Linked DNA regions of Rattus norvegicus. The protein of the gene in region 1 interacts with the protein of each later gene in a pairwise test. Links are inferred from orthologs where the notes say so. Each region holds a gene or a part of one and is shown on either strand. Other genes may lie near its edges. The genes, in order: Aldh16a1 and Dera.

The links.
Region 2: the proteins of Aldh16a1 (region 1) and Dera interact in binary tests that used the Homo sapiens proteins (3 or more experiments, as listed by UniProt). The link is inferred for Rattus norvegicus from reciprocal best matches to the Homo sapiens genes ALDH16A1 and DERA.

The regions. Positions count from the first base shown.
Region 1 is NC_086019.1:104,757,111-104,773,376, reverse strand, and holds the end of Aldh16a1 (aldehyde dehydrogenase family 16 member A1), read left to right. Parts: intron 1-2,276; coding exon 2,277-2,379; intron 2,380-2,404; exon of another isoform or gene 2,405-2,694; intron 2,695-3,571; coding exon 3,572-3,698; intron 3,699-4,218; coding exon 4,219-4,397; intron 4,398-4,479; coding exon 4,480-4,557; intron 4,558-4,696; coding exon 4,697-4,878; intron 4,879-4,961; coding exon 4,962-5,114; intron 5,115-5,473; coding exon 5,474-5,659; intron 5,660-5,962; coding exon 5,963-6,058; intron 6,059-6,247; coding exon 6,248-6,384; intron 6,385-6,493; coding exon 6,494-6,599; intron 6,600-6,715; coding exon 6,716-6,846; intron 6,847-7,272; coding exon 7,273-7,440; intron 7,441-7,592; coding exon 7,593-7,794; intron 7,795-8,782; coding exon 8,783-8,968; intron 8,969-9,180; coding exon 9,181-9,303; intron 9,304-9,915; coding exon 9,916-10,077; 3' UTR 10,078-10,177; downstream 10,178-16,266.
Region 2 is NC_086022.1:172,386,567-172,403,317, forward strand, and holds the start of Dera (deoxyribose-phosphate aldolase), read left to right. Parts: upstream 1-8,404; 5' UTR 8,405-8,478; coding exon 8,479-8,509; intron 8,510-9,471; exon of another isoform or gene 9,472-16,751. Other genes in the region: Strap (serine-threonine kinase receptor-associated protein), read left to right, coding at 197-333, 2,567-2,716, 3,260-3,325, 4,472-4,533. UniProt on the Homo sapiens protein: Catalyzes a reversible aldol reaction between acetaldehyde and D-glyceraldehyde 3-phosphate to generate 2-deoxy-D-ribose 5-phosphate. Participates in stress granule (SG) assembly.

The DNA.
Region 1 (16,266 bases):
AGGTTTGCGTTATATAACTAACACTGTCCTAGCATTAACTGTCAATCATGAGTGTAGTTCCTAGCTCATGTTCACAACGGCCCCACTTCCAAAATTGGCTCTGTCCTCTTGGACGCTGCAGTTTGGAACATTTGAGTGACAGTTTTTCTTTTCTTTTTTTATGTGGTTTTCTTTTTTTGAGTGATTTTATTTTATTTTTTAAGATTTTAAATATTTATTTTATATATATGATGAGTATGTTGTAGCTGTCTTCAGACACACCAGAAGGTGGCATCAGATCTCATAGATGGTTGTAAGCCACCATGTGGTTGCTTGGATTTGAACTCAGGACCTCTGGAAGAGCAGTCAGTGCTCTTAACCACTGAGCCATCTCTCAAGCCCCTTGCCTTTTCTTTTGCTCTTTGGGACAGGGTTTCTGTATGTAATCCTTCCTGGCTGTCCTGGAATGCTCCGTGTAGATAGTCTGACTGGAACTCAAAAGCAATTCTCTTGCCTCTGCCTCCCGAGTGCTGAGACGAAAGGTGTGCAGCCCCACCCCAGCCAAGATTTCTTTTTTGTTATTTATGATTATGTGTGTGTATGCATGTGCGCATGCTTATGAGTGAGCAGGTAGGCCAGCAGAGGGGTTAGATCCCCGGGGCTGGAGTTGCAGGTGGCTGCGAACTGTCAGAAATCAACTGTGAGGAGTCCGCAGGGAAGCTTTCGAGGCCGCTCTTCTGCTCCAGCCTTCTTTCTTTTCAAGGGCTGGGATTCCTCATGTAGGCCAAACTGGCTGTTCTTTGAACTCCTAGGATCCTCCTCCTCTACCTTCCTAACACAAATTACAAATGCGTGTGCCTTGGTCCACTTTTCTCCCCTGGATCCTGGGGATTGAACTCAGGTTCTTTTATTAATTGCTTTGCTGGGCCTGGAGAGATGGCTCAGTTAGGAGCACTGACTGCTCTTCCAGAGGTCCTGAGTTCAAATCCCAGCAACCACATGGTGACTCACAACCATCTGTAATGAGATCTGATGTCCCTTTCTGGTGTGTCTGAAGCTACAGTGTGCTTATATATAAATAGAAAAATAAATTTTAAAAAAATCGCTTTGCTGCCTGACGTACTTCCCCACCATGCACTATTTTGAGACGGAGTCTCCCTAGGTAGCCTAGACTGGCTACAGTAGTGATCCTCCTGCCTCTCCATCTCTAGTGTCGGAGTTATAGGCACGTGGTGCACACTGAGCCCATTTTGCTTTAAGGAAGAAAAGTAAACAAAGAATGAGAGGCCAGTTGTCAGGATAAGGGAAAGCATCTGAGAATGGAAAGTAGAGGTTGGATTTAAGAACAGCGGAATCTAAGGAGGAAGAGAAAGCAGCATGTGTGCCTGGAGAGGAAGCTGAAGCCAAGGTCACAGGAGGAACTAAAGTGGCGATGCTGTCTGTTTATGCATATTTGTTCCCTCTCCCCAGGCATGGGGGTGGTTTACCAGAGGCAGAGTTATAACCCCTGGCTAAGCCTGGCAGTGTTGGCGCACACTCAGGAGGCAGAGGCAGGAGGCCAGCCAGGTCTAAAGAGCTAGTTCCAGAACAGCCAGCGATACAGGGAAAAATGGAAAAATGGAAATAATAATAATATTAGTGTTATTAATAATAAACAAAGCAGTAGTGGTGCTCTTGGCTAACATGCTCAAGGCCTGGGTTCCATCCCCAGCACCAAAAAATAAACAGAAACACCACTGACAAATATGTTTCCACAGAAACAAAACTGACAAAGTCACTTCTGTGAGGATGGAAGTGAGGTGTGTGTGGTGTGTATATGTGTATATACATATATATTCACACTTAAGCCAGGCATACCAGTGCACACAGTGGATGGATGCAGGAGGATCTGGAGTTCATTCATGACACCACAGTGAGTTTAAACCAGCCTGGGCTATTATTACATTTGATCCTGTCTGAAAAAGAAAGAAACAGAGAAAAATTAGAGTCCAAGTTCTTACCATTGTAGCCCATGCTGTCCTGAGTCCTGGCCTGTAACAGGCTATACATGCATAGGCTGTAGCAGCAGTCCAACTAACGTAATGAGTTTCAGATAACATTTTAACCACAGTAAAACAAACAAGTGGGCTGGAAGTATAATTTGATAGTTTAGGGCCCTGCCCAAAACAAAAACAAAAGGCACCCAGGAGAAGAGTGAGCTGAGGGCAAAGGGTGCAAACGTCCCCTCAAGGAGAGCAAGGGGCTGAGCTGCCCCAGCTGCCTCATCTGCTCTTCTCCAAACTTCTTTCTTCCTCCAGGCCTGGCTGGACACCCACAATCGCCTCTTGGGCCACTATGTCAATGGGATGTGGCTGAAGCCAGAACACAGGAATCCAGCGCCTTGCCAGGATCCCATCACAGGTTTTTAAAGAGTCCAGTCATTCAGGAGGAACAAAGACCTTTCTCAGGGTGTCAGCCATGCCATCCCTGATATCTAGCCCCTGAGTGCAGGGACAACCACTGATGGTGGTGGGGATGGGAGTTCTCATTTCTCCTGATGACTGTCTCAGTAATTATAGTTCCTAGTGCCCCAAAAGGCTTCTGAAGCCCCTCTTTACTAAATTCCCTTCCTCAAGTCTAGTATAATGGCTCAGACCTCTAATCCCAGCAATCCAGAGGCTGAAACAGGAGGATCATGAGTTTGAAGCCAGCCTGAAATACAAGAGTGAATTCCAGGTCAGCCGTGGCTTCATAGTGAAACACTTTTTTTTTTCTTTTTTCTTTTTTTCGGAGCTGGGGACCAAACCCAGGGCCTTGCACTTGCTAGGCAAGCGCTCTACCACTGAGCTAAATCCCCAACCCCTAGTGAGACACTTTTAAAAAGAGAGGAAGGGGTGAAGAGACAGCTCAGTGGTTAGAAGTGAGTACTGTTCAGTACCTAGTACCCATGTCAGGACCAGGCTGCTCAAAACCACCTGTAACTTCAGGTCCAGATGATCTGATGTCTTCTGACTCCTATACATACATACATAATACATACACACACACACATACAGGCATACATCCATATAAGCATATATACATACAGGCAAAACACTCATAACTAATTTTAAGTAAATAAAAGTTTAAAAACACAGCTGAGGGCTGGAGAGATGGCTCAGAGGTTAAGAGCACCGGCTGCTCTTCCAGAGGTCCTGAGTTCAAATCCCAGCAACCACATGGTGGCTCACAACCATCTGTAATGGGATCTGATGCCCTCTTCTGGTGTCTAAAAACAGTTACAGTATACTCATATAAATAAAAAATTTAAAAAAATTAAAAAAAAAAAACAAACCATAGCTGAGCATTAATGTGTTCAGGAGGCAGAGACAGACAGATCCCTGAGTTTGAGCCCAGCCTGGCCTACAGGGAGAGTTCCAGGACAGCCAGGGCTACACAGAGAAAACCTGTATCAACAAAACAAACAAACAAAAGGTTTAAAAATCAGAGAAAGAAGGAAAGAAAGTTGACTCCTGTCTGCAGGGCTCGGTCAGAGCAGTGACCAGTGACTAGAGGAAGGCCTGAGATGCACAGGGAACTTCTGACACAGACTTCCCCCATCTTGTCTTGGCAGGAGAAAACCTGGCCAGCTGCCTGCAAGCAGAGGCCGAGGACATCTCTGCAGCTGTGGAGGCTGCAAGGATAACATTCAAGACCTGGAGCCAACTCCCTGGAACTGCTCGGGGCCAACATCTAACCCGGTGAGGAAGCCCAGGCAAGGTCCACAGAGGAAGAGATGGGCCTTGTCCCTCAGGATTCACAGGAGACTGGAAACAGTGACTCCGCTTCCTAAGAGCCTTTTGAGTGTTCATGTTACCTGAATATATATGGTGCTTCAGTGGCCAGAACAGCCCTTGTTTCTCCCAGTTCACTGGGACTGGTGGTTTCAGAACATCTTAGAGCCCTGTTTCTCAGCACTTCATTAGAATCTGAGCTCCCTGCTCAGACTATGGGGTCAGCTATAAAGATCCCATTTCCCACAATGCAATTGAATCAGAGACTCAGATTCAAGTCCCCAGTTACCTCTGGTCCTGGCTGGTAATTAGTGACCAGGACCGTTCCTCAGCATCCACACAGAGTTTTGACACTCTCCTAAACTACATTTCCCATACAGCTTTGGTATCTGCTGTCCCTGATAAATTATGGATCCGCCCCTAGTGTCTGTGGGGATTATAGTCCAGGTTGCTCTGAGCATGGACCAATTCCTTGTATCCTCCAAAGGCTAGCCAAGGTTATTCAGAAGCACCAGCGCCTGCTGTGGACCCTGGAGTCCCTGGTCACTGGGCGGGCTGTTCGAGAAGTTCGAGATGGGGATATACCACTGGCGCAGCAACTGCTCCACTACCATGCCCTCCAGGCACATGCGCAGGATAGCGCACTGGCAGACTGGGAGCCCTTGGGTGAGAACCTGTAGGCCCTCAAAGAGCCCTCCTGACCCAGTAAACCAACCCGTCCATTCCCCTCATTATGAATTCTTTGTAGGAGTCATTGGCCTCATCCTGCCGACTTCTTTCTCATTCTTGGACATGATGTGGAGGGTCTGTCCTGCCTTGGCTATGGGTAGGTGAGGGCTGTGGTTGCCTCCCCCTGTCTTTTCTCAGAGGATGGTTGGGGTCTGAGGAGGAGGGTAGAGGTCTGGACTCAGATCTGAAGAAAGAGAGCTGGACTTTAAGGTTCCTTGGTTGTTCCCCTCCCCTAGGCTGCACTGTGGTGGCCCTTGTGCCCCCATCCTTCCCAACACCTCTCCTCCTGGCTCAGCTGGCAGGGGAGCTTGGCTCCTTCCCAGGGATCCTCAATGTGGTATGTGGCCCTGTCTCACTGGGGCCTGTCCTGGCCTCCCAACCTGGAGTGCAGAAGGTGGCCTTCTGTGGCGCTGTGGAGGTATCTTTGGGGATGGGAGTGGGATGGGCACAGCTAAGGGCCAAGAGGCTCCTGTCACAACTGAAACCCATGGGTTCCCTCAGGAAGGACGTGCTCTACGACAGACTCTAGCAGGCAGGGGAGCCACACTGGGCCTGGCCCTGGGCACAGAGTCCCTGTTGCTGCTAACAGACTCAGCAGATGTGGACTCGGCTGTGGAGGGTGTTGTAGATGCTGTCTGGTCAGACCGCAGCCTGGTAAGATCTATATGCTCATGTCCCCAAAGTCCAGGGCCCACCATATCTCTCCAAATACATGGGTGTTTGTTCCCACCTTGTTTTTACTTTCTGGTCTTTGGGCATTTTTATTATTTGGGACAGGGTCTTATATAGCCCAGGCTGGCTTCCAACTCACTATGTAGCCCAGGCTAGCTTTGAACTCCTAATCCTGCTGGGGTTCTTGGTATATGCCACCATTCTGGGCAAGTCACGGATTTTCTGCAGTGCACCTCTTGCCTGCTGCTGCTCCTCCTCCCTGAGGTCCACGCCTCTGTGGGAACCTGTTCTTATATTCATTGCCCCTGATTTTGACCATTTTTGATGCCTTTTCCCAACAGGGGGGACTCAGGCTCCTCATCCAGGAATCTGTATGGGATGAAGCTATGAAGCGACTCCAGGCCAGGATGGCACAGATACGGAGCGGGAAAGGACTGGATGGGGCTGTGGACATGGGGGCTCGAGGAGCTGCTGCCCGAGACCTTGCCCAGAGCTTTGTGGATGAGGCCCAAAGCCAGGGTGGACAGGTGAGCCCCAACTGCACAATGGAGTCTTAGACTTTGACTAGCTAGCTCCTATGTCAGAGTCAGAAGGTCCCAGACCCTAGATGCCTGGGTCCGAGAGAAGGACTAAAGCCTGCCTCCTCAGTTTGCAGAAGAAAGTTGGGGTCTGGCCTTCAGTGTCTGAGGGAAGAGGCTAGGGTTCTGCGTGTCCAGGTTGAGGGGGGAGCCTGGGGCTTGGACCCCTGAGCCTGCAGGAGGAGGCTGAGTGGTGTCCCTGGGTCTAGAGAAGACAGGCATCTGATCTGTCTCCATGTCCCTCCTCCCCAGGTATTCCAAGCTGGTGATATGCCCTCCAACAGCCCCTTCTTCTCTCCAACCTTGGTCTCTGGTCTTCCTCCAGCAGCCCCATGTGCCCAGGCTGAGGTGAGGCCCCTGAGACCACAGTCATCCTGCCCCACCCTTCCACCCTCAGTAACTTGTGGGCAGCACCCCATACCTTAGAATGTTTGAGTGACCCTGTGACCAACCGGGGGCTGGAAATACTAGGACTTCCTAAATGAGTAAAGTATTGACCCTAGGGCTTGCTCTCCAGCTAACACCTGTCCTTCCTAGGTGCCGTGGCCTGTGGTTATGGCTTCACCTTTCCGCACAGTCAAGGAGGCACTGGCCCTGGCCAATGGAACACCCCGGGGAGGCAGCGCCAGTGTGTGGAGTGAGAGGCTAGGGCAGGCCCTGGAGCTGGGCTATGGGTTAGTTGGTACTTACTCACCTGCCTATGCCCTGTCTCCCACTCAGGTGTCTCCCTCCCCCTTACCCAGCTTTCCATCCCCTCCCCTGGTGTCTTTTCCTGCCTCCTAGGCTCCAGGTAGGCACAGTATGGATCAATGCTCATGGCCTCCGAGACCCTGCGGTGCCTACAGGTGGCTGCAAGGAGAGTGGGTCTTCCTGGCATGGAGGGCCAGATGTGAGTGCCCATCGCCTCTTTGTCTCTTGACACCTCATACCCTCACCTAATACCTCTCACCTAGTACCCCTCACCTAGTACTACCTGGCCTCCTGGTGACCACACACCTTTCACAGGGCCTATATGAGTACCTACAGCTCCTGGGAACACCTTACCGGGAGTCCTTCCTTTGTGAGAGTCTCAACTATGACACATTTGGCCTTGCTGTGTCCTCCAGCCTGCCGTCTGGGCCAGAAACAGGGCCAAGGTGAGCTGTTGAGGTCTGGCAGCCTAAGGGTGAGAGGGAGGGGCCGAGGGAGGAGGAGGTTACAGCCAGTCTCGGGGTCTCGGTTCTTAGTGCAGCTTTCTGGATCCTAACCCCAAGTGTAAAGAGAATCTCAGTTCTACTTAATGGCTTGAGTTTTTCCCAAAGCAAGAATTCAGGGAGCACCCAGATGCTCATAGAAATAGGAATTTAGAGTGTTAAGAGTTTTAGATGACCTCAGAAACTCATGGGGTAGAAATTCGGAAGCCTCCAGAGGCTCATGGCAGCAGGTGTTTGAATCCTCCTAGACGCTCATGAGAATAGAAATTTGAGTCCAGAAGGTTCCTGGCAACTGGGAGGTCCAACCAGTGTAGTAGACCTGCCAGTGGCCTACATGGACTCAGAGCCTCCTCCTACCCCACTCTGCAGCCCAGCACCTCCCTATGGGCTGTTTGTCAGGGGCCGTTTCCAGTCTCCTGGGACCCAGAGCTCCAGGCCCATCAAAGATTCTTCGGGCAAAGTCTCCAGCTATGTAGCTGAGGGTGGAGCCAAGGATATCCGAGGTGCTGTGGAGGCCGCTCATCAGGCTGCCCCTGGGTAAGAGGGTCAAATGGAAGCCCAGAGGTAAGGGTATCTAGGGTGGGAGTAAGCTTGGGACTGGAGCCCTAGGTTGAGTCTGTGGATAGAGGTGGCCATCTGGGAATAGCTAAGGTCAGGCTGTACCCCTAACTTGCGTTGTTTGCCTACAGCTGGGGAGCCCAGTCTCCAAGGGCCCGAGCAAGCCTGCTGTGGGCCCTGGCGGCTGCTCTGGAGCGGAGGAAGCAAGTCCTGGCCGCACAGCTAGAGAGGCACGGAGCGGCGCCTACGGTTGCGGAGACTGAAGTGGAGCTGAGTGTGAGGCGACTCCAGACATGGGCCACCCGGGTTCAGGACCAAGGCCAGACACTACAGGTGAGACAGATCTAAGCAGCTGATAGGACAGTCCCCAGCCAAGAGCCAGAGCCCAGGCTCAACATTTGTAAAACAGAGGCAGAAAAATCACAAGTCGAAGGTCAGCCTTGACCACAGTGAAACCCTGCATTGAAAAAACAAAGGTATTGCTGAGCATGGTGGCCTTCATCCCAGCAGTAAGGAGCTGCCCTGCAGGGGATGGGTTTGACCTCAGCACCCAGGCCAGAAGCCTTACCACCTCATGTAACTCTAGCTCCCAGAGACCTCACACTTCCTTCTAACACTCACAAGTGCACATAACTGTGCCACACACACACACACACACACACACACACACACACACACAATTAAATAATAAATCAAGCCTTTAGTCCCAGTACTCAAGAGGCAGAGGCAGGTAGATCTATGTGAATTTGATGCTAGCCTGGTCTGCAAAGTGACTTCCGGGATAGCCAGGACTGCCCAGAGTGTTGAAAATCCAAAACTCAATCAATTGATCAATCAGTCAATCAATCAAGCTGGGTTTTGGTGGCGCCTGTGTTTAATCCCTGTACTCAGGAGGCAGAGGCAAGCAGATCTCTGAGTACAAGGCCAGCCTGGGCTACATAGGGAGCCCTGTCTCAAAACAAACCAGACACAAGCAAGTGTTGGAATATGGTTCAATGATAGAACACTTACCCATCCTAGCATGGTTGGAGCCCTCTGCAATACCTCAAAACACACTGATTGCACAGGCCCAAATCTCAGCTACTCCAAAGACTGAGGCAGGAGAATGGCAGGTTCAAGGCCCAGAGGCCCAGAGAGGTTAAGTAACTCATGCTGATGAGTGGGCATTGGAATCCAGAGTTTTAGGCCCTGAACGAGCATCCCCTGGTCACACTTTATAGGAGCTACTGTGGAATAGAAACATATCAGATGTGGGAGAATGGGGCAGGCAATAGAGAGGCCTCTGGGAACTTGTTGATGTGTCTGTCATCTGTCCCTGTAGGTAACAGGATTGAGAGGCCCTGTGCTCCGGCTTCGAGAGCCACTAGGAGTGCTGGCTGTGGTGTGCCCAGATGAGTGGCCGATGCTGGCTTTTGTGTCACTACTAGCCCCTGCACTGGCCCATGGCAACGCTGTGGTCTTAGTACCTAGTGGATCATGTCCTCTGCTGGCCTTGGAAGCCTGTCAGGTAAAATCACCTGCTTCCCCTCCTGCCTGCTGCTCCTGGGTCTTCCAGAGCTCAGCTGGCCTCCTCCCTCCTGGGTAACCATGGTAACTTGAATTTCAGCATCCCATCTAAGTCCTATTCCTTGTATGAGCCCCTACAGCTACTGCCCCACGAGGGCCACTCTTCAAGGGCCACTGATGTTCAACCCTGGGTGTCCCACTCTCTCATCCTAGGATATAGCTGCTCTGTTTCCTGCTGGCCTGGTGAACGTAGTGACAGGAGATCGGGACCATCTGACCCGCTGTCTGGCCTTACATCAGGATGTCCAGGCCATGTGGTACTTTGGTTCAGCCCAGGTACTTGAGGGTACTTAACCTTCACCAACAGACTTCTGTGCTAGGAGCATGGCCTCATCCCCTAAAGACCTCTGTTCCTGACAGGAAGGAATGCCTTAGCAACAGCTGTTGAGGCCCTACCCACCCTGTACAAGCTCAGGACAAAGGAAGAGTCTTCAATTGGGGTTTGGGGGACACAGTGTTTCGAGACAGGATTTCTCTGTGTAGCCCCTGTTCTAGAACTCACTATGTAAGCTAGGCTGGTCTTGAACTCACAGAGATTTGCCTGCTTCTGCCTCCCAAGTACTGGGATTAAAGGTCTGCATCACTGCTGCTCAAGTGCCTAAAGCCTCCCTTGCCCAAAGACAGGGTGGTTTTTGGGAGACCTATTGCTAAGGTATGCACCCTAGCAACATTCCAAGGCTCTCCCCTCCTAAACCATTGTTGCGCAGGGGAAGTCCCCATTGACAAGAGCCTTGAACTGGGTCTACTTCCTCTGCATCTAAAAGGAGTGTTGGCCAGGATCTAAATGCCCAGCCTTGTCAGGTCTTGTTAGCTCTTTTACAGGTGTTCGTCGCTGAGGAAGCAGCTGTTTGGCAACTGGCAGTACTAATTTTGTACTCTCCATCCCAGGGCTCCCAGTTTGTGGAATGGGCCTCTGCAGGAAACCTCAAGCCCGTGTGGGTAAACAGGGACTTCCCAAGGGCCTGGGATGTGGAAGTCCAAGGGTCAGAACAGGAGCTGAGTCTTCATGCAGCACGAACCAAGGCCCTGTGGCTGCCAATGGGGGACTGAGGTCGAAGCCACCCACTCCATCTTTCATGCCAGGGACACCAAGTGCTTGGAACGTTTCTCTCAGATTTCCCATGACTTCAAATAAACTGAGTGACATTGACTTTGACTACATTTGAGGGTGTGGGAACAGTGGCTTCTTGTGTGGCCCGGTAGGCAGCCCTGGGAGAGCACTGTTTATGTAATGCATAAAGGGAACTCAGCCCCGTCCAGCACTCTGGGGTCAGGAGGAGGTAGAGGGAAGTCCCTGGAAGGCTCTGTCTGTCCCCTTTATACTTGATTCCAGCATTGGGTAGGCCACAGGGCCACCCCTTCCTGTAAGTCCCCTCTCTGACTAGGTCTATATCCTAGCACAGCCCTAGTATGTCAGCCCACGCCAGGGGCCACCACTGCTGTGCCAGGTTCTGAGGGCACAGCTTCAAGGCAAGGCCTGGCTTCCTTGAGCCGAAACTCATCAGGTCTTGCCATCACAGCAGATCTCCATGGATTTAGCCTTTAGTTTGGGTTTTAGGTTTGTGGTTTTGCTTTTTTCTCCCCCTCTTTGGTCTGTTTCACCTTAGGGAACAGCTAATCTGCACATCCGTTCCTCGTGTCTCAACCTGAATGCTGCTTACCGTCAGGTGCTTCCAACCCGCGACGTCTGCCTGTGGGATAGAAGGTGCGGTTTTTGTTTGTTTGGTTGGTTTTAGATTTTTTTTTTTAAATATTTTATTTATTTATTATATATTATGATTACACTGTCGCTATCTTCAGACACACCAGAAGAGGGCATCAGACTCATTTCAGATGGTTGTGAGCCATCATGTGGTTGCTGGGATTTGAACTCAGGACCTTGGGAAGAGCAGTCGGTGCTCTTAACCACTGAGCCATCTCTCCAGCCCTGGTTGGTTTTAGATTTATCTATTTATTTTATGTATGTGAGTACACTGTAGCTGTCTTCAGACGCACCAGAAGATGGTGTTCGATCCCATTACAGATGGTTGTGAGTCATCATGTGGTTGATGGGAATTGAACTCAGGACCTCTGCAAGAGCCATCTCTCCAGGCCCTTGTTTTTGTTTTTTAAGCAGGATCTCACTATGTAGTCCTGTGGGACCTGGAACATACACACACACACACACACACACACACACACACACACACACACACACAGACACACACTCTCTCTCTCTCTCTCCTTTTTTTTTTTTTAAAGATTGTTTTAGGGCTGGAGAGATGGCTCAGTGGTTAAGAGCACTGACGGCTCTTCCAGAGGTCCTGAGTTCAAATCCCAGTAACCACATGGTGGCTCACAACCATCTGTAATGGGATCTGATGCCCTCTTCTGGTGTGTCTGAAGACAGCTACAATGTGCTCACATATAATAAATAAATAAACCTTTCAAAAAAATTGTTTTAAGCCAGACAGTGGTGGCTGTGCACGCCTTTAATCCCAGCACTCCGGAAGCAGAGGCAGGCAGATCTCTGTGTTTGAGGCCAGCCTGGTCTACAGAGCAAGTTCTAGGACAGCCAGGTACACTGTCTCAAAAGAAAAAAAAATTAAAGTTTCAGGGGAGTTTTGTTTTTGTATTTTGTTTTGTTTTGTTTTTTTCAGTATGCATGTATGTGGGCATGCACAAAAGTCAGAAAACAACACACAGGGTCAGTTCTCTCCTTCACCATGTTGGTTCATGGGATCAACTCAGGTGTTTATACTCAGTAGTTATAACCTTTTTATAATCATTTTATCAGCTGAGCCATCTCACCCCGATCTGGAATTCTTGTGATCCACCTATATATATCTATCTCCACCCTGTGTTGTTCCTTAATCTTCTCTGCCTTTTTACCATGTGAGGTCACAAAAGAAGACAGAGTGTCTGTTCATTCAGGCTGAACATGAAGGCCACAGGCAAGAGACGTTGGAGAAGAGCCACCACCATGGCCTACCTAGCCTTTCACACTCACCTGGATCTGTGGGCTACGGCCAACTGGTTTACTCACTGCATATGGTCAACGCTCCCCCCCAATTCCACTCTGCTCACTAATGTTGCCCAGTTCCCTAGGCTGATGGAGGCTGTCTTAGTCCATTTCCTTTCTTGTATCTTACGGTTTGGTGATGGTGTTCTGTTTGTTGGAGTTTGGTTTGTTTGCTTGGTTTGGTTTGGTTTGATTTGGTTTGGTTTGGTTTGGTTTGGTTTCGAGAACCACAGTGTGTGTGTGTGTGTGTGTGTGTGTGTGTGTGTGTGTGTGTGTGTGTGTCCCTGGTGGACTAGAACTTCTATGGCTATGGCTATGGCACCAAAGACGGCCTTGCATTCCTGATTCTCCTGCCATTGGGATGACAGACTTGAGCCATCAGGCTCAACTTCCTCTGAGCCCATCTTCTGAGCTGTAACTGATTATCACAGACTGTCACTTGCCAAGAGTAAAGGTCACAGTACATGGCTGGTGAAGCTGGGAGCCCCATCTGGTTGGCATTTGTGAAGCTAATGGCATGACAGCTTCTAAGAGAACAAAGCCTGTCCCAGGGACCCTGATAACATGATATAGTGTGTGCGTGTCGCTGCTGCTGCTGTGATGACACACCGTGACAAGAAGCAACTCTGGGAGGAGAGGGTTTATTTAGCTTACACATTCCAAATCACTGAGGAGATCCAAGGTAGGAACTCAAACCTGGCAGGAACCTGGAAGCAGGGGCCATGGACAGGTGCTGCTGACTGGCTTGCTTCCTGTGGCTTGCTCAGCCTGCTTTCTTAAACCACCCATGACCACCAGCCCAGGGGTAGCACCATTCCCCATGGATGTAACCTATGTCATTAAGAAAATGCCCGGGGTTGGGGATTTAGCTCAGTGGTAAAGCGCTTGCCTAGCAAGCGCAAGGCCCTGGGTTCGTCGGTCCTCAGCTCCGAAAAAAAGAAAAAAAAAAAGGAGATTATTTAAAAAAAAAAAAAGAAAGAAAGAAAGAAAATGCCCTTACAGGCTTGCCTACAGCCCATCTTATGGAGGCCATTTGACAATAGAGGTTCCCTATAGTTTGTGACTGTAGCTTGTGTCAAATAGGCATAAAACCAGTCAGCACAGACAGGGCAGTTTTGGCAGGATCTCTCAGTTAAGGCCAGCCTGGTCTACAGGTCAAGTTACAGTTTAGCCGGATTACACAGAGAAGCCCTGTCCCAAGGAAGGGGAGTAGGACTGGAGGGGAAGCAGCATCGTATCTTTTTTCTTTTTCTTTCTTTCTTTTTTTTTTTCCTTTAGTGATCTTCTTTTATTTTTGAATGAGGGTGTCAGGTTCCCTGGAGTTACAGACAGTTGTGACCGGCCTTGTGAGTGCTGGGAATTGAGCCAGGGCCTTTTGGAAAAGCAGGCAATCAGTGCTCTTAACCACTGAGCCGTCTCTCCAGCCCCCATGACTTTATTTTAATGGTGTCAACGGGTATGGACACGTGAGGTCAGAAGAGAGTATTGAATTCCATGGAGCTGCACCCACTGTGAGTGCTGGGAAATGAATCAGGTCCTATGCAATGATACAGACTCCCCCCACCCCCCACCCCCCGGAGCTGAGGCCCAAACCCAGGGCCTTGCCATGCTCTACCACTGAGCTAAATCCCCAGGCCCTAGTACGGACTTTTAATCTCAATCATCTCTCCAGTCCCATTTCTTCTGGTTTTTGAGACAGAGGCTCGATGGGTGTGGTAATCCCAGAGGCAGGGCAGGTGAGCCTCCTTAAATTTGAGGGCAGCCTTGTTCATATATCTTGTTCCAGGCCAGGGCTACATAGTGTACTTCGTAAGACTCTCAAAAAAGAGAGGTAGTCTGACTAAGCCTGGCTGAATTGAAACTCACCATCCCAAGCTGTTCTAGAACTTACTGTGATTTTCCTGCCCCAGCCTTCAAGTGCTGAGATCCCAGGCCTGTTGTAGGACTCCATTAAAGCTCCACCTGGAGATGCCAGCAGTGTGAACGAACACAGGGGACTAAGTTTCCACATGTGAAAAAGTTAGGGCACAGTGAACACAGCACAGCCCCACTTCCCTCGCACCCACTCCTAAGCTTGTTGGGCTTCACCCAGCAGTAACCTAAACTTTCCACTCTCCAGTGACTGGCCAAAGCAAACCAAACAGGCACACCAGAGTTTGCAGAGCAGACCTGGGCTTCTGCAGGAGAGGCTTAGACGGAACTACCCAGGCAGGAGAGCCCTGCCTCGAACGCCACTGAGAGTGTCTGCTCAACAGTCGGCTATCAGCCTATCATGTGGGAAGTGCTGGGTTCAATCCCCAGAACTGCACAAAAAGAAGACACCTCGTATTTGTGTCATTTACTAACTCACTCCCAGTTTAGGGTAGGAAAACCTTCAGCTTACAGAGGACAAAGGGCCGGTTCTCACAGTGACAAAGCCAGCACCACTGTGACACCTGTAGACTGCATGTGACAGGTTCCCTGAGGTGCTATAAAAAGCAGCTCAGTGGGCTCACCGTGGCCTGCACAGAGCTGGGGTGCAGAGCACAGAGGAGCATAGATGGCAGGTCAGAGCTGGGGGTTGATTGTTTGGAAGACAAAGTCTAGTGTGATCCAGGCTGGCTTCAATCTCACAGCGAAGGATGATTTTGCCTGGATTACTGGCGTACTCTGCCTAGTCTTGTTTCTGCCATGCTGGAGGTGGAATCTAGGACTTTGTGCGTGCTAGCCAAGCACCATGGTATCTGCAGCCCCAGGATCTTGAGATGAGATCTCCATACATTATCTAAGCTGACCCTAAATCCAAGAATAAGCAACCCGCGACTCACAGAGAAGATTCGTCTGCCTTTGCCTCTCCTGTTGGAATTAAAAGTAGCACCACCACATCTTGCCTATTATATGACACAGGGTCTTCTTTGTAGCTAAGGCTAACCTTGAACTCCTGGTCCACCTGCTTCCAATGCACCATGTTATTCATTCTCGATCCTTTCTGAATTGCCTCTGTGTGAACTCAGGTGCAGTTCAGGTGTCAGCCCTGATAAACGATGGCGCTCCCCATACTTGAAAAATCCCAAGGATTTATCTCCTAGAAACCAAAACCCAAACCTAGACACATCCTGTGCTACACAGCAGCGGTGAGCTGGGAAGAGGTCGGGACCTGCCAGTACATTGATCAGATAGACTCTGGGGTAGCTGCTGTTTAGGGAAGACATAGTTCTGGGTGCAAGGACTTTGCAGGGTGGAAACAGCCACTAAAGAAGCCAAGACAGGGTTGGGGATTTAGCTCAGTGGTAGAGCGCTTGCCTAGGAAGCGCAAGGCCCTGGTTCGGTCCCCAGCTCCGAAAAAAAAAAAAAAAAAAAAAAAAGAAGCCAAGACAATGGGGAAGATAAGGAAACCATGGTGTGTGTTAAATGGTGATAAGGACAAAGCAGGGTGAGTCTGGTGCTGCAAGGGGTGCAGTTTGGGAAAAGGTATCATGAATCCTCTGCCTATGTGTTTAATCAAGGACGGGGATGAGATGGAGGAGAACACAGGAGCTTGGAGGGAAGATATTCCATTCTGGGGAAACAGCTAGTGCAAAGGCCCTTGGGCAAGAGAATGCCATCTGACACACCACGGACAGATAGTGTTGGAAAGGAACATTAATAGCATGAGATTAGGGGTTGGGGATTTAGCTCAGTGGTAGAGCGCTTGCCTAGGAAGCGCAAGGCCCTGGGTTCGATCCCCAGCTCCGAAAAAAAAAAAAAAAAAAAAGAACCAAAAAAAAAAAAATAGCATGAGATTAGCAGAGAGGGGTCAGGGCAGCAGAGTGAAGTAGTGCAGCTCTGTGTGGCCACCTTTTTTGGAGGGGTGAGGTGAGACTATGGATTGGGTCCAGGGCATCAAGCAAGCTAGTTCTCTGCCATTGACTCACTGGTGGATTCTAGGCGGCTGCTCTCCAACTGCGCGGTGCACCTGTCTGTCTTTTTACTTTTTGAGACAGGGTCTCAAAATTTATTAATTTACTAATTGCTCAGGCCAGCCTTGAAACAAGACCAGCCTCATTCCTCCTGCCTCAGGGTCCTTGGTAACTGGGGTGACAGGTCTGTGTTACCAGTCCCTGCTGAAAGGCTGGATTTTTTTTTTTATCCCCAAATGAATCAGGAACCCAAAGGCTGAAGGTTCACAAGTTCTGTGCCCCAGGGAATAGTTGGGGGCTAGGCAGTAGGGAAAATCAGAAAGGAGGCCACCTCGACATTCCTTATGGTAGAGGCAAGGC
Region 2 (16,751 bases), on another chromosome or scaffold:
TGAGGTCCATTAGGGTATAACAATATAACAATCTTAAGTCATATACACCTAACTGAATCTCTATTTACTGTGTATTGGGTTTCAGAATTCAGGAATAATTTTTTAGGATTAATTTTAATATGGCTAGATAGTTATTTATGCAGTGTTAAAAATTTTGTAGACATTTATGTTTTTGTGTTCTTTCCTTCACACACAGTCTGGAGCCAATTAAATCCTTTGAAGCTCCTGCAACCATCAATTCTGCATCTCTTCATCCTGAGAAGGAATTTCTTGTTGCTGGTGGAGAAGACTTTAAACTGTATAAGTATGATTATAATAGTGGAGAGGAATTAGGTGAGTCTCATTCTCTCCCCTTAATCAGGTATCTCCCTCCACCTGTGGGTCCTGACCCCTTCTAGGGATGTGTGTGTCTCAAATGACTCTTTCACAGGGATTGCTGAAGACCATTGGAAAACACAGGTATTATGATTCATAACAGTAGCAAAGTTTTAGTTCGACGTAGTAACAAAAATAATTTTATGGTTGGTGGAGGTCACTACACCACCACAGCTGTGTTAAAGGGTTGCAGCATTAGGCAGGTTGAGAGCCACTGCCTTAAATAATTTACTATCAAAATATTATGAATGCCTTAGGTATTTACGTATGGTTTGTTGAAAGTAAGTTTTCCAGCTAACTAAAACTGGAAACTCATACCTTCAAAAACAAAGGTGTTATCCATTTTTGATAGAAATACAGACCCTCTGACAAGACTGAACTCATTTCCTCTTATCTGAGTCTTATCTTTACACTGATGTTCTGTAGTTCACTGATTTTTGATTCTTTATTGGGATGGAATATTTGTATTTCAAGTCAAATATGAAACATATGCAAGGGTATTTTGTTCTTTCTAAGGAGAGAACAGGTATATAATCCTGTTTACCCAGCCTCCTTTCTTCAACCTAAGTCTCTAGAGAATGGTGGGGGAATCATTGGTTTAACAAGGACCCTTTACAAAGAGTAATATATATAGGATTATAACATATAATATTTACTATATTTAATTTATTTTAACATAAAGTAATTAATATAATTTAAATCGAAACTAAAGTATAACTTAATATAGTAATATATAAAATATTAAGATGAGTTATATATTGACATGTAATATATATTATTTTATATATATAATATATTATTATTAGTTTAATAGTTCTTAAGAAGTAGAATGGCTGATGTATGATTAATTTGAAGCAGAAACATCCTAACTTTATCATGTGTAGAATAGTAAGTATGCTAGATAGGTCAGAGAGCACAATTTTTAGTACCTAACCAAGTCCAACTGTGTTTTGCTTTTAGTTTAAAAATCTCCCTTTCTGTCTGTAAACTGGCGTCTCTTCTTACCTGTATCTAAGTATTCTGGTTTTCCACCCACAGAGCTAACTCACTGGATTTATACACAAAGAGCAAGAAACGGCTTTATTTTGTTTCTTGGGAGAAACTGGTGGACCGGGGTTGCTTAAGTCAGTTCTATAGAATGTTCAGTCACATGTCCGTTTTTTTCGGCTTGAGAGAACTGTGGCTGGGCTGGGGCGGAGGAGGTGCTCAGCGTTGATGATCCAGGCTGTGTTCAGAGGAGAGATAGATAGGTGTGGGTTTTGGATACAGTTGTTCTCATCCAGTGTCTGTTCATGGAACTTTTGGGGTTGTGTCTGAGGGTTGAATCCAGGAGGTTTGTATATGATAGACAAATATTCCATCCTGGTCCCTCTACTCTTAGATGCTTCTATTCCCTGGCTAGTCAGAGATGGAGGAAACTCCAGAATAAGATGGAGAGGCATAAGATTATATATGAGAGATTCGTAAGTTTTCCTGCAGTAGAAAAACCTTCCCAATCACTACATTCCCGGTATTAAAATGCGGGGTCAGGATTGAACCTGTGTCAGCACTGTGGTGGAATTAGGAAGCCGGATAGATGGCCTGGTTAGGGAGTCAGGGGCTGGCGTCTGTAAAGAGCTCCATCTGCTGGCCCTCTGCAGGCATGGATGGATCGGCTCTAAAGCAGGGTGAGTTCAGGACCTGGACACTGGGGTAAGGTTCACAGACTTGAGCTCTAGTCTAGAATTTAGTCTTTATTGACAGCTTCTCAATTCTCAGTGGGACATGAAACTTCATTTTCCACTTTTGAAAGACAGTCTGTGTTGGGACACGGTCAAAAGAGTGACTCATAGTGAATAATACTAAGGGTCTCTCAGGGGACCCTGAGAGAGTCTGCAGGAAAAAGTCAGAGGCCTTTCTTTCCCCTCAGCTGCATTTTGTATACTGAAACCGCGATAGCATTGTCCACAGCATCAGACTGGTCCACCCCATCTTTCAGGCCATCAGATCCCATGGCTTCCAGACAAGAGCTGTGTGGATCAGTGAAAGTTGACAGGGCTGCCTCTGACATTGGACAGGAAAGGGCTAATTCTAGGGAAATGATCCCCAGCAGTACAGACGGACAGTATCTCTTCTAGTACAGTGCTATTTACCCTAATAATTAGCTTTGCATGTATTTAAATCTGATAACCCCACTCTTCACTGTTTTCAGAATCCTACAAAGGTCACTTTGGCCCCATTCACTGTGTGAGATTCAGTCCCGATGGTGAACTCTATGCCAGTGGTTCTGAAGATGGGACACTGAGATTGTGGCAAACTGTGGTTGGAAAGACCTACGGCCTGTGGAAATGCGTGCTTCCTGGTGAGGACGTCTCTTCAACGTTACCAAATTATGCTGCGGAGACTGTGTGTCCTTCACTAGTTCTGTTGCACTGTGTCAGTTGCCTTTAGACTTTGAGTTCTGCATATGGCATAAGCAAGTGAAATCATGCTGCTAACTGAGCAATGACCTTTATGTGATGAATTGAATGAACTGATTGCAAAATTTATTACAAAGGAGCTCGGGAGATGGCCCAGGGGTTCAAAAGCATACATAAAAAAATAAAATAAAATAAAAATAAAGCTTGTTAGAAGGCAGTATGAAGAATTTACAAGTATCTATTCAATTTTTTATAGTATTACTTGATCCTTACCACTGAAAACATGTTTTTAAGTTTAAATAACAAACAAACAAACAAACAAAAACTCCAAATACTTATTACTAATCCCAGAGTGACTGTTGTACTAAAGGTGGCTTTAGATGTCTCTTTTAGACTCACAGTGACTGTTAAGAGGAAGTGTGCTGTGTGAGTTGGTGAACACCTGCCCTGCTTCATAGTCAGTCACCCCGCTTTTCTCTTCACAGAGGAAGATAGCGGGGAACTGGCAAAGCCAAAGATCGGATTTCCAGAAACAGCAGAAGAAGAGCTGGGTAAATACAAATTAATGAACTTTTCTAAGGGTCCTGGGTATGTAAAAATTCAGTGTATGAGCATTTTTGGTCCATGGCAAAAGAGACTTAATAAGTGAAGTACATTATAGGAAGCTTAAGTGTGAGTGTGTAAGCATTCGCTCCCGAGTTCCAGGCTCGTGCACGTGGACAGGACTGATGGGCTCCCTCATACGCTCAGGAACAGGTACTTAAAGGTTCCCGAGACAGTTTATAGCCATGAAGGGAGGCAGAGAGGGCTTCCTGCATAAGGGACACTTACATGCGAGGAGACCGCAGGACGGACAAGGTGGCTGGTGAGGATGGACAGGAGGGCTCAGCAGAAAACAGAAGAAAGGCAAGGGAAGCAGCGTGAAGGATGTCTCTGTCCAGTCTGAAGAGTCAGGGTGAGATGAGGTGAGAGGCTAGGCCAGCCGGCTCCTGGTTTGCTCTGTTACAACCTTGATCGTTTTATAAACTAGGAGAGTGAAAAACCTTTGATCTGAATGAAGGTCTAGATGTAAAATTAGGAAATTGTCTTGATGTATAGTGTGGAGAAAGAGTTAGACTAGGGACAATAGATTCAAGGTTAGTAGCCACAGGACAGACACCAAGAACAGAAGGAAGGTGGGCTTGTCTTAGATGCATAATGGCTAGATTGGAAGATTGGTCATTACTTGTCTTGTAACTTGGGGCGGTAAGAAGAGTTGACCGCAGATTCTGAGGCTAACCCCCGCTTTGGATGCTATTAGAGCCTGCCCCCAGAAGCAGTGCTTAATGGTTATGATTTTAATTACATGCCCTTGATACTAGGAATTGATTACTAAAGGAAAGGACAGGACCCACAAAGGCATGCTTTTAATTAGATGCTGACTGGATAGTTGGAGTCAGCCGAAGTTTATCCCGAAAGGACAGGGATTGGGGTTGGACAAGGATGTGAAGACCAAGAACGGGTGACTGTGTCTAAGCTCTGCCCAGGGGTTTGGTGGCCGGAGTCCTGGGGTAGTGTGATGTTCAGTAGCATTTCTATTTTCTCATTCTCGCCACAGCATGCTTGAAAAGACCCTTCTATTTATCCCTCCTTGTACAGAAGTGTAGATTTCCTTCTTCCTTTATTAAATCTGCTATGGCTTTGTCTTTTAAATGCAGAAGAGATTGCTTCAGAGAATTCAGATTCCATCTATTCGTCAACTCCTGAAGTGAAGGCCTGAGCAGCGTCAGACGTGTGCCGCAGATGCCATGCAGTTGATGGACTGAACAAGCAGAGACCGGCATCGGCCTTCAGTTACTCTGCCTGTGGCAAAGGGGACAGACTGTTGGGGCATGGATTGCTCCAGTGCACGAACCACTACAGTGTTGCCTGTGAGGGAACTGGCTGAGCGTGCGGTGCAGGCAGGAGGAGTCTGTTCACCTAGTGCCTGCCAAAGCCTGCTGCCGTGATGAAAAGCCAACTTAGTGTCCACTTTACCCCAGATCTCCTGTAGCTGTTTCTGTCATGGAGAAGAAAAATATATTGGCCTATTTTTCTGACATTTCCCTTGAAGAATGCCTTTTTTTCTCTGCTTAGTTGTGAAGAAGAGGAAATACATGATAAAGTAACTGGTTTGATCTCTTTCATTGTACACTGACGGCTTCTGGACATCTAATTTTTTAGTTATCTAAATAAAATGCCTCTAAAACAATAATTTTCTGTTTCTTTGGGAAATTCTGACATGCTTGAATATTAAAACTAAATATTCAGAGTTTTCTGTATCATCCACAGCCAGCAGTGGCAAAAGACAGTTTAGTTAGAGCCTGAACTAAACATTTCCTAATTTTGAAATTCAATTATTTAAACTTGAAACTTTCCTATCTTTTGCTAGGTGTTCATTTATCTTCCGGAAGGGTAGAATTGCTTTTCTTGTTTAAACATGCATGTTAGTTACTAAAAAGAAAAGCAATTAGGAAGACAGGTAAATAAGCGGAAGTCCCAGTTGTTCTGAAAACCGCTGTCCGCAGTCAGACATCTGCTTGGTTGTACAAATACCCACATGACTGTGAAACTGGGTTAATCATTAATTTGAAGTAGTTTATGATGTATCAGACTTTATCACATTGAAATTTGGGTCATTCAAAAAGTCAACCTTTAATACATTGGATCAGTTGAATAAATTTGTAGTTTATTATTTTATAATATGAAGAGATTAAATTAGTAATTTGGAAATAAAGATGAACAGCTTGCATTAATTTGCTTTCTTCTAATTTGTCTTTTGAGTGACCTTTAATACTTTGATTAGAAAAAAGCTTTGGCTGGTTTGTGACAACCAGAAGGCGGCACTACAAGCAGCGGCTGGGGAGCCAGGGGGACGCCTGTCACAGACGCTGATGAGCCTCAGGCAGTGGTGTTCCTGTGTCCATGTTTAACATGCTTGGTTCTCTGCTCTGTAGCAGTACTGTTAATGTATCAAGATTAGACTGAGAGTCTGACCCTAAATAAAGTTGAATGCATCTTTTATAATGGAAGTTGCTTGAGTTCATGAAATTAATAAAATAAGGGCATTTCTTTTTGTGCCATTGGTTTCCTGTTGCTGCAGCAAGTTCGTAGCCCGAGCCAGCATGCTTACTAAGGGACTGCAATGTCCCGAGGCTGAAACAAGTCTCACTTGAATAAGGTCCAGGTGCTGGCAAAGCTGCATTCTGTCTGGAGTCACCAGGAAAAGCTTTGCCCTCAGCTGCTAGAAGTCATCGTGGCACTCGCCTTCCCTCAGCTAAACCTGCTTCTCAAGCTTCTTTAGTGACTGTCGCTACCTTAAATCCAGGTGCTCAAATGAAAAGGCCTGGATGACCCTACATGCCTGTTCGAGTCCTACATCTGGCTGTGCTTATCCTGGGAGCTCTCCTAGATCTGTTCAGGGCTTCTCTTCTGTTACTTCCTCCTCAGGCTGCCCACGGTTCTTGGATGTTGCAGTCTACTACACCCTGCCTTTGCCTGGTTCTCAGCCTTGCAGTCTGCATTGTAGGAAAGGCTTTAGAATTTGAATCTTAAGGAGGTTGGGTCACTTGGTTTGGGTGCTGGTATTTAATCCCTTGATAGTGTGCCAGTTTTCTCATAGCCTGTTGAAACTTTCATTGGGGCTGAAGCTTCCAAGTAAAAAAGCGCGGACTGGAGACTCAGCCTAGTCAGTAAAGGGTGTGCTGTGCGGGTGTGAACATCTGAGTTTGCTTCCCCAGCAGCCACGTACAAAGTTGGACATGCTACTACATACATGTACACTTCTGAAATCCCCGGGCCATAGGTGATAGCTACATATTACAAGATTGCTTGGTCATCGTGGCCAGGGCAAATCTGTAGGTTTTTGTGTTGAGATGTGAATATTTTGGCTATGCATGATGTTGGTGTTCTTGGTGGTCTAGTGGGTTTCAGATAAACTCCAGGCTTGTAGTGCCTGCTCTTAAGTTTTGCAGGGTAAGTGAAAATAACAATGGTATTGTGAAAATGATCTAGACACATCCAGAATACTTAGAAGTAGTTGCGTATGGGCTAGACTACATGGTAGCTCTGTGGGGGAAATAAACTGGCTTCTATCTAGATAAGTAATTGTGTATCTGACACTACCTTTAATAGCTTCCATTTATCATGTCCTCACATATTTATGAACCATGCAACTTTGCATGCAAACCTATTTTGATCACCTAGTTTTGCAGTAAGTAGACTATAATGTCCTAGAACCTTCTAGTCATTGTGTAGAATTGAAATATGAATGGTTCGAGTTCATTAGAGCCCTCTCTACCAGATTGCTGCTCAATTCTCAAAGTTTGGGTCTCTGGGTATATGTACATCTCTGGCAGGACTTTCTGGGATGAAAATGCTTTCATACATCTGAAAACACTAGAGCAATTGATTCATTAGACAAGCTGGTAGCTCAGACTTTGAGCTCAGCAAAGTTCCATGTGCATATAGATACAATGGCTAGTGCCCTGTGCTGTGAACCTAGAGTAATTCAGAGAAACCAGGCTGAAAAAAAAATCAGAATCACAGAATCTCAACTTTAGAAAGCCAAGAAATTGGCTGGATCCTCTCTTCAGATAAGGAAAATGAAGTTCACAAAGGCCAGTGATGTGTCCTAGGTTACATATTCAATTATTCATAGAACTAAGTTAAAAACATCTTTTCAGAAGTTGAGAGTGCTTGTACTCCTTAAGACTTCAGTATGGTTCCCAGCTTATAACTAAACGTGGTCCAGAGGGTCCTGTTCTGGCCTCTGCAGGTACCTGTACACATGTGCTGTCCATACATACATACGTGTGTATACACAAAGATGAAAATAACATGTTTTTTAAATGGAAGAAACCAAGCCTTCTACTGCATGTGGCATCCGCCTGTAATCCCAGCAGTGGGGAATCTGGGCAGGAGATTTAACAAAGCAGTCTCTGGGCCAGTCGTATTTACAGAGCGAAATTTCTGTCTAAAAACAAAACGAAAGGGCTGGAGAGATGGCTCAGCTGATGAGAGCACTGATTGTTCTTCCAGAGATCCTGAGTTCAACTCCCAGCAAACACATGGTGGCTCAACAACCATCTGTAATGGGATCCGATGCCGCCTTCTGGTGTGTCGGAGGACAGCAACAGTGTATTCACATGCATAAATTAAATCTTAAAAAAAAAAACAAACCAAAAACGAGAAACCAGGTCTTCCAAGCTTATGTTCTAGCTGCTCTTTCATCGAGCCCAGACTAGAAATCACAGCGTGTTCTAGGTCCTAGAGTACCTTGGCTGTCACCTGAGGGCTCCGGAACACTGCCCACCATTCGGGTCCAAGGCTGCAGTGCTCTGCCCATGCAAGAAGGAATCCAGTCCTGCCACTCACATGATCCTACAGCTAAAGTTCCTAAGACTCACTCTGTCTAGCTCAATTGGCAATGTAAGCATAATGGAGCTGGGGCGTGCTCAAGTCATGTGCCTGATCCGGAAGGACAGGGAACAGGTAATGTCCGGGTTGGGAGCCAAGGCCAAGAGCTAGCTCAGAGACAGGACTAAAGGGGCGTGGTTCTAGAGGGCGTGGCTTGTGAGGGGCAGAAGGGGCGTGGCTCAGGGCGGGCATTTGGCAGGAAGGAGGAAGACCAGGCCTGTGTGGCGCCCTACCCTGGTGCAAGAGTTACCTTTCAGCTGTGGCCGCAATGGCTGCTCACTGCCGGGGCACAGAGCTCGGTAAGGGCCGGCGGGTTACGCTCCTCTTCGCCAGGTTGGGGGTGTGGGTGCCCAGGGCGGTCCCCGGAGAGCGGAGTCGTGAACTGAGGCAGAACCCCGGGACAGCCCTGCCTTGCTGTCTTTGCAGTTTTTCCCTTTAAGCGGAAGCAAGGAAGGATTCATTAGATCTTTCCACTTTAAGCTCTGTGGTCGCAGAAAACAAACCCCTGCGAAAAACCTGAGGGAGTATTTGTGCCATTTACAGCCGGATTCACGTAGCCATTCCCAAAATTGACTGCGCTGGTGGAAGAGTGGTCATGGCCTTCCGCTAAAAGTGATTTTAGACCCTTACACAAAATGTCCTTTTTAAAACTATTTTTCATCTTATTGATGCTAGTTCAGATATTTCTGGGGGAAAAAAGTCTGTAATTCAAACGTGGCAAAAAACGTGACTGAGCCAAATGTCAACGATTTAACTTTGTATGATAGTTTGCTTCATATCCTGGACCCTCTTAGTCGTGCGATTTGGGGTAAATTACTCACTTTGTGCTTACGTGCCGGCATCTGTAAAGTAGTTATTAGGAAGCTACTTCTGTCTGAAGGTGGTTTGGATAGTGTGAGGACAGGATACTCAGAGCTTCCAGTGGATTTCTCTGCATTTACTGCTGATAAGCAACGATAAAAATTGGGTAAAGTTCTCTTCTTAGGGGCTGATTTTGCGTAGTTATAACACATGGTTACTCTTTTCTCTTCAAAAGGGACTTGCTCCACGAATAATCAGTCTAGACTTTAAAGACGTTTAGAATTGCATGCTCGACAGGTAGCTTCTGTACCAGGTTCACCTCAATGAACTCCTTCCAACAGACGGTGGCTTACACTTTATCCCTTAAACGTTAGCTGCGATCCAGCGTACCCTGGATTGGAAGAGTGAAGATGGGGGCTAAAGGTTGAGGCTGAGGTGTGTCTGCATCTTTGTACAATGTCTCTCTTTTAAAAGTTTCACAGTTGCCTTTCGGGTGATGCAATTAAAGCGTTTTTACTTTGCTGTTGCACATACCTGTAACTCCAGCATCCGGCGTGAGCAGGCCGGCCTGGACTACATCGGAAGAACTTCTCTCAAAAAAAACCCAAAAAACAAAAAACAAAAAAAAAACCCAAAAAACTACCAAAACCCCACCTTTCGTGTGTCTCAAAATAACAGTGTAGAAATTAAGAGTTGCTATTTAGAATAGTAGTAAATGTGTGCTCACGCCTCCAACAAAAGCGGATACTTTTTACCATTCTTGTTAAAATCAGGTGGAGCGCAAGAGTCCTTATCAGCTGGGAACGGCTCGAATCTAAACTGCTAAAGTAAATCACGTGAATTATATATGTACTATGAAAAAAACTCTTCTGTCTTAATTTCAACACGGCCTCAATTGATGGTTTTTGAGTTTTTTTGTTGATTAAAAACATCTTAATGTTTTTTATGAACGCTACCTTTTAAAAAGAAATTAGTTTTATTTAAACACATTCATATTAAATTTTTTTAGCAAAATGCAGTTATCACCAGGTGGATTGTAGACTTCATTAGTCATTGTCATTTATAATTTTTTCTATTTTACTTTTAAGTGTGAGTTTTGTCTATACATGTCTCTTTACCATGTACATGCAATGCCTGTTGAGGCCAGAAGAGGGCATCCAATCCCCTGGGATTGGAGTTTCTGATGGTGTATGGCTGCCCGGTGAGAGTTGAACTCAGGTCCTCTCAGAGCTCTTGACTGCTGAGACATATCTCTTCAGCCTTTAATCCAGATTTTAAAAATCGAATTTACTTGTCTACTTTGTGTGTGTGTGTGTGTGTGTGTATGTATGTGTGTGTATGTATGTGTGTGTGTATGTGTGTGTATGTATGTGTGTGTATGTGTGTGTATGTATGTGTGTGTGTGTGTGTATGTGTGTGTGTGTGTGTGTGTGTGTGTGTGTGTGTGCGTGCGCAGAGAGATCAGAGGGCAGCTTTCACAGTTGCCTCACCTTCCACTTTTGCCATCCAGGATTGAAATTCAGGATGTCCAGTGCAGCAGTAAGTGTCTGCCCACTGAGCCATCTGGCTGGTCCTGAACTTGCCTTTCAGGGCGAGAACACTGCAAGGAAAGTTTCTTCCCAGCAGGGCATGTGTAAAAGAGGTTTCCAGATAGGGATGCTCTGGTTGTAAATGGAGGTCCAGCCGTCTGGGTCTGGGTGGTTCTGGGGCACACTCAGGGAACTGCCATGCTGATTAATCCTTCCAGGCTGTGTCAACATGTTCTAGACTTTTCTGACTTTTCCTTACAACGTAGGTGCCTGTGAACATGTTTTTCCCTTAGTTCCCCATGTAACCTATATGGACGAAGGCCCTCACAGGAGGAACAGAGGAACACATCTTGAACTATTTACCGTTTGGGGGAACCTGTCTGTGCAGCTGGGACCTGTGTGTGGACAGGAGCTGTGAGGGCCATGCCTTCCTAGGTTCCAGTGCCAGTCAGAGGCCGTTTGATAACTTCTGTTTTCGGTGGTGGACAGTGGTTTTGTCTTGGGGTTTCTATAACCGATGAAACACCGTGAGCAAAAGCAAGTTAGGGAGGAAAGGTCCTATTTCCCTTCAGGAATTCAGGGCAGGAACTCAACTAGGACAGGGGGTAGGAGTCATGGAGGAGTGCTGCTTCCTGGTTGTTCCTCATGGCTTGCTCAGCCTGCTTTCTTATAGGACCCAGGACCATCAGCCAAGGGATGGAACCACCCACAGTGGGCTGGGCTCCCCCTCATCAATGACTGATTAAGAAAATGCCCTGCGGTTCTGTCTACCATGTCCTGATCTTGTGCAGGCTTGTTTTCCCAGTTGCCATTCCTTCTTCTCAGATGACTCTAGCTAATGTCAAGTTGGCATAAAGCCTGCCAGCACAATTTCATTTCAAATTAGTGCATGCTTAGAGGTACCTGGAAACGGGGATTTTGTACTAGGGAACATTTTAGCAATGTCTTACTTTATGTTGGTCGTTTCTGTTAGGGGAAAGCTTCAAGCAGATCTCAACTGTGAAGAAACAGTTCACCGGACACTGTTATTAGTAGGTGGATACAATTATGGTGTAGGGTGTTCAAAACAGAAGGTAGTCTTGGTGTAGCCTAAAGGAACAGAAGGACTAAGTCAGAGCTGCTCAAAATCCACTCTTTCTGCCAGAAAGTTGTTCTAGAAGCCAAACCCTGCTAGCAAGCACTTGGGCAGAAAGTCCGCTCGGCTTTTATTCTACAAAGGTGGTGAGTGTGTCTTTCCCCATTTGCTGTGATCCAACTTCATAGTCTTCTGAGGTTGGCTGGTTTTTGTTTTTATGCATATGTGTGCTTTGCCTGCGTCTGTGTCTGTGTACCATGTACATTCCTGGTACCCTTGGAAGCTGAAAGAGGTCATCCCATCTCCTGGAACTGGAGCTTTGTGCACTCTGGGAGCTGGGAACAGGACTTGGGTCCTCTGCAAGTGCAGGCAGTGCTCTTAACGACTGAACCACTTCAACCAGCCCAATTCAAAGTCCTTTTTAAAAAGACTGTAAATGTGATATCCGTTCATCTTTTACCTCTGTGCGTTTATGAAGTTAGATATGTCTAGATTTTTTTTCAGTGTTTCTGAGGTAGCGTTTTAAAAATTGTTAATATTTATTGGGTCTAATTTTAATTTTATTTATTTTATGCGTATGGGTGCTTTGCCTGCATGTGCATTTATGTATCATATGGGTGCCTGGCCTTGAGTCCCCTGGGACTGGTGATACAGATTCTGGGTATTGGGACTCATACTCAGGACCTCTGGAGGAGCCTGAACTCTTTTAGTTGAGTGTGACCTTGAACCATGATCCTCCTGCCTCCACCTCTCAAGTGCCAGGATTATAAGAAGCCTGACTTAGACTTCGTTAAATGAGTTGTGATAACAAGATGTTCTCGCTCCCCTGTGTCATTGTCGTTTATTTTTGTGTTTATAGGAGCTTGTGTACGATTAGCAACATAGGAAGCTCGTTTCTTCCTTCCTCTGTCTGGACTCTGGGCTGCTGTATGCATGGCTACCCTCCTTACCTGTTTGGGCTTCCATGCCCCACTGTGGACTTGAGGGTGTCCTGCCCAGGTACCTTGAGGGTACCTTGTTCACCTCCTTTCTTACCTTTGCCCTGGTGGTTCAGGTCTGCCCTCTAAGGAAGACAGGGGAAAGGAGCCAATGTGCATTTTATAAAGCAGTATTTTATGTGCACAGAGATTTGGAGAGTCCTGTGTGGAGTGCCTCTTGTTTTATGGCCCCAGGGTATGGATCCCACAGGTAGCTGACCTGTTCGGATCTCTAAGAGCACAGGCGTCTCAGCCAGCGTGTATATGTAGGACAGTGAAAGTCACTCAGGTGTTGGCTGAGCGTGCTGCTCCAGTGCTGTGATTTGATACCAGTACTAGGGGGTGGAGACAAGAGGGTTAACAGTTTTGAGGCCAGCCTGGGGTAGTTTTGAGACAAGCTAAACTAAGCAAAAATCACCACGAATGAAGGGAGGAAATTGTATTTGAGCAGGTAGAGTAAGGAAACCCCTAACCTGACTGCTCCATTATTAAAGGGAAGGTTCTTATTGGGGATGAGTGAGAGATGATATCCAGAGGCCACTGGAAGAGTCTAGAGCAGAGAGAAGAGAAAGCAGACTGGACATGGCCAGAGCTGGGGAAGCAGGAGAGAGCAAGACCGCATACAGGGAGAGCCTCCCTGTTCACCTGTAGTGAGAGAGGGACTCGCTGGATTGTAAGGAGGATGAGTAACTGTGGGTACCAAACCTGTGAGCTAGAGAGTCTAGAGTAGAGGGGGTAAGGCAGACTGGGGTGCTAGTGTGGAATTTGTAATGTATAAGAGAAACTTGTGATACCGGGGGAGCCTGGAGGCCAGCATGGGCTTCGAGATGCTTCGAGCCATATGTCCCTTCCACCAGAGGTCAGGGAAATGACTCCTTGGGGGGGACAGAAAACCTGTTTCACAGGTTCCTGAGGAACACTGGCTTCTACCAGTCAAAAATCCTGCTATTGACCAGCTGGACATCTAACACAAATGACCTCAGAAACACAAAAGGACAGGAAGAGATGGGGTCACACCGGTGAGTCCAGGGGAGGCTTTCTTTCCTAATGCTGTTCCTCAGCGGATCCTTTGTACACAGGGATTGAGGGAAAGCAGCCTAGAAGGGTCCTTTAAACACAGGAACCCAGTGCTCAGATTCTCGTGTCCACCCTGTTCTGCTGTAGTGGCTGTGACTAATACATTGAGCGATTCTGCATGTGGGTCACACAAGTACGGTGATTGCTCATTTCTGTATTTTAAGTTGGGTGTCCTTTTTATGAACACTTTTATTCTGCTTTTGAAGTCTGCTATCTTTTGTTTATAAGCATGTACATGAGGCTATCTTTTATCACTCTGATGCCGTTTTGATAAACAGAAAGCTATAAAGTAATAATCAGAGGTTGTTGTGTAATTAAATAACTAAAGGTCCTCTGTGGTACCTGCTGCACTGAAACACTTTTTTTTTTTTTTAAATAGAAGTATCTAAGCCCTGTGGATTTTAATTATTGGGAGGGAAGGCAAACTTCAAGCCTCCGCCTGGAAAGAAAGACTACTAAATGAGACAGCAGACAGAGCCCTGGAGGACGCGATTGAAACATGTCACTAGAAATGGTTTAAGTGGAGAGTTCTGGCCCTTTCAAAACACTGCCTGTCACTTGAGGATTGGGTCACCTTGAAATGTGTTCATCTTTGAATTAAAGGCATGAAAAGGCACTTTGAAAATTTTCAGTCGACTTTGGTGTGTGTTGTGAGCGTCTGTGGGGTGTACTTCCTCTGCTGTCTCCCCAAAACAGTCGGTTCCCTGGAAACCAAAGTGGTCGCAAGAGGAGGATAAATGTTTAATCTCTGCGCCAACAACCCTACATAGTTTTTTAAAATGCTGAGCCACTTACATCCCAACTCCTTGCTCTCTTTGTATACTCGGGCTCTCCTCCTGCAAAGACATGGCAGGCAGAGAGCCGCTGCTGGTAATTGCTCTCCAAAAGGGCGCCTCGTGGCTGGTGCCAGGGTTGTCTTAGGCTCTCGCTAATGATGCCAAGTTACGCTCGGTGAAGGAAGGGAGACTACTGAAATTATCCAATCAGAAGCCTGATTCTGATGAGCGTTTCAGTTAACACCTCAGGGACATACTTTTGTCCTCTTCGTTCGGACGGGATGCGTTTGTGTGTGTGAGTGTGCAGTTCATTCGCGTGTCTACAGAGAAGTGTCTCAGCGACTAACAGCACTGGCCACACGCGCCTCAAAGCTTGACTTCAGTCCTAGGAACCTAGATTAAAAATATCAGACACGTATCTGTAATCCCAGCCTCCTACAGTAGGAGGTGGAGACAGGGAAGCTACAGAAACTCTAGTGCCCTCTGTCCCTAAACATTCAGCAGGGGAGAAATAAGGACCTGTCCGAGGGAAAAGGAGAGAACCAACTGCCCTCCACATATGAACCATGGCACACACATGCCTAATGTACACACTTTAATAGACAAACAAGCCATTTAAAATGTAAAAATGTCTACAGCTTAGTAGGGTTTTCTATAGTTTGTTACAACTTTTTGGTAGGACTACACAGAGAAACCCTGTCTCGGGGGAAAATGGATCTTTCTGCTGTTAGTAATTTAATTAATGTAAAGAAAAGTTGGATGCCTGTGTCTCTGCCGTGTGACCTTCTTATGTCCCTCTTCCTTATCTAGCAGTGGTCCCTTCCCACAGTTTAACTTTCGCAAGCCAGGCTGAAACCAGACATCTGCGAGTGGTCATCGGAGACTCTCTGCTTGGCTGTGTGTGGTTTTCCCAGGTGCACTAGGGCCACTTTGATCTTGACAGGGACGTCTGTGCCCTGGCTTGACCGTTCTTATTCTGTAAGAAGAGTCTCACGTGTGTTGCTGTTTAAGCACATGATGATAACCAGGAGGTGATGCTTGTGTGGACCTGGGGGGGGGGGCTCTTTGTGTCTCTTGCTGTTTTTGAAAATCTAAAGTTACTCTAAAAAGTATGTTTGAAACAGAAGAATCCGGTGTACAATCTCTGAGACTCCGAGGGCTGTCCTGGCTCTGTATTTGAGCTGCGTGATCCTTCAGTGGCCGTTCCTGCAGCTGTGTGGGCTGGTGTTCTAGGCTTTCCCCTTCCTTGTCTTGCTGGTGGCAAGGCTCACTGGCTTCCCAGACCAGTCGGTTGCACGTTTTGCCCTCTAGTTGACTGAACATGACTAAACGCTGTACCACACTGCCCTTCCCTCTATATGTCTCAAATCTCAATGTTGGGTGTCTCCCTTAGTTTTTCTCTCCCCGCCATGCCAGTTAGGCTAGCAGCCAGCGAGATCCCGGGAGCCTCCTGCCTTCGCCTCACTTAGAGTTCCTCAGTGCCAGGATGACGTGTACACCACAGCACTCTGGTGATTTAGGTGGAAGCTGAGTCTGGAGTCAGGTCCTTGAGCTTGCCAAGCCAGCGCTTCGCTGATCAACAGAGCCGCCCAAGCACGGGCCTGTATTGTGTATTCACTCCTCTGCCTGACGGGGTACTGGTTACAGTCTTAATGTTTGCTTCCATTAGAGATGTGGTGAGGGCTCCCCCCTTTCTGCTCTTCCCAGGCATGTGGTCCATGGCGTCGCTGTGAGGGCTCCAAGACTTTTGATCCGCTCCAGGAAAAGCTTCCTTTCTTTGAACTCCTTGATCGCATTTGTCCTTTCGGATTTGTTTGTCTTTTAAACTTGGTATCATCTCCTTCCGTTTCATGTAACACATAATCTTCCTTGAACTTTTTTTCAGTGTTCTTGTTTGTGCACACAAGTCCTGGTGCTCAAAGAGACCAGAGCCATTGGATCCCAGTGGAGCTGGGGTTAGAGGCAATTCTGAGTCTCCTGACGTGGGTGCAGGAAATCAGGCTCTGGTTCTCTAGAACAGCGGTACATGTGTCTCCAGCCCCACTCTAGTGATTATGGATATAACTTGGGCTTTAGAATCTAGTGGCCTGAGTTTCCCTTGTAGGCCTGGCAGATACTGTGTGACCTTGAACAAGTAATTGAGTGTCTGGGCTTCAGTGTCCTCGATCTGTAATTCTACCCTGGAAGAGTGACTTAGGTCAGTCCCACCATGGAAGACTGACTTTGGTTACCATCAACTTGATAATTGATTGATCTCCACCAGTCAAAAATTCTGGCTGCTTTTCTATTTCCTTCTGACGTAATCA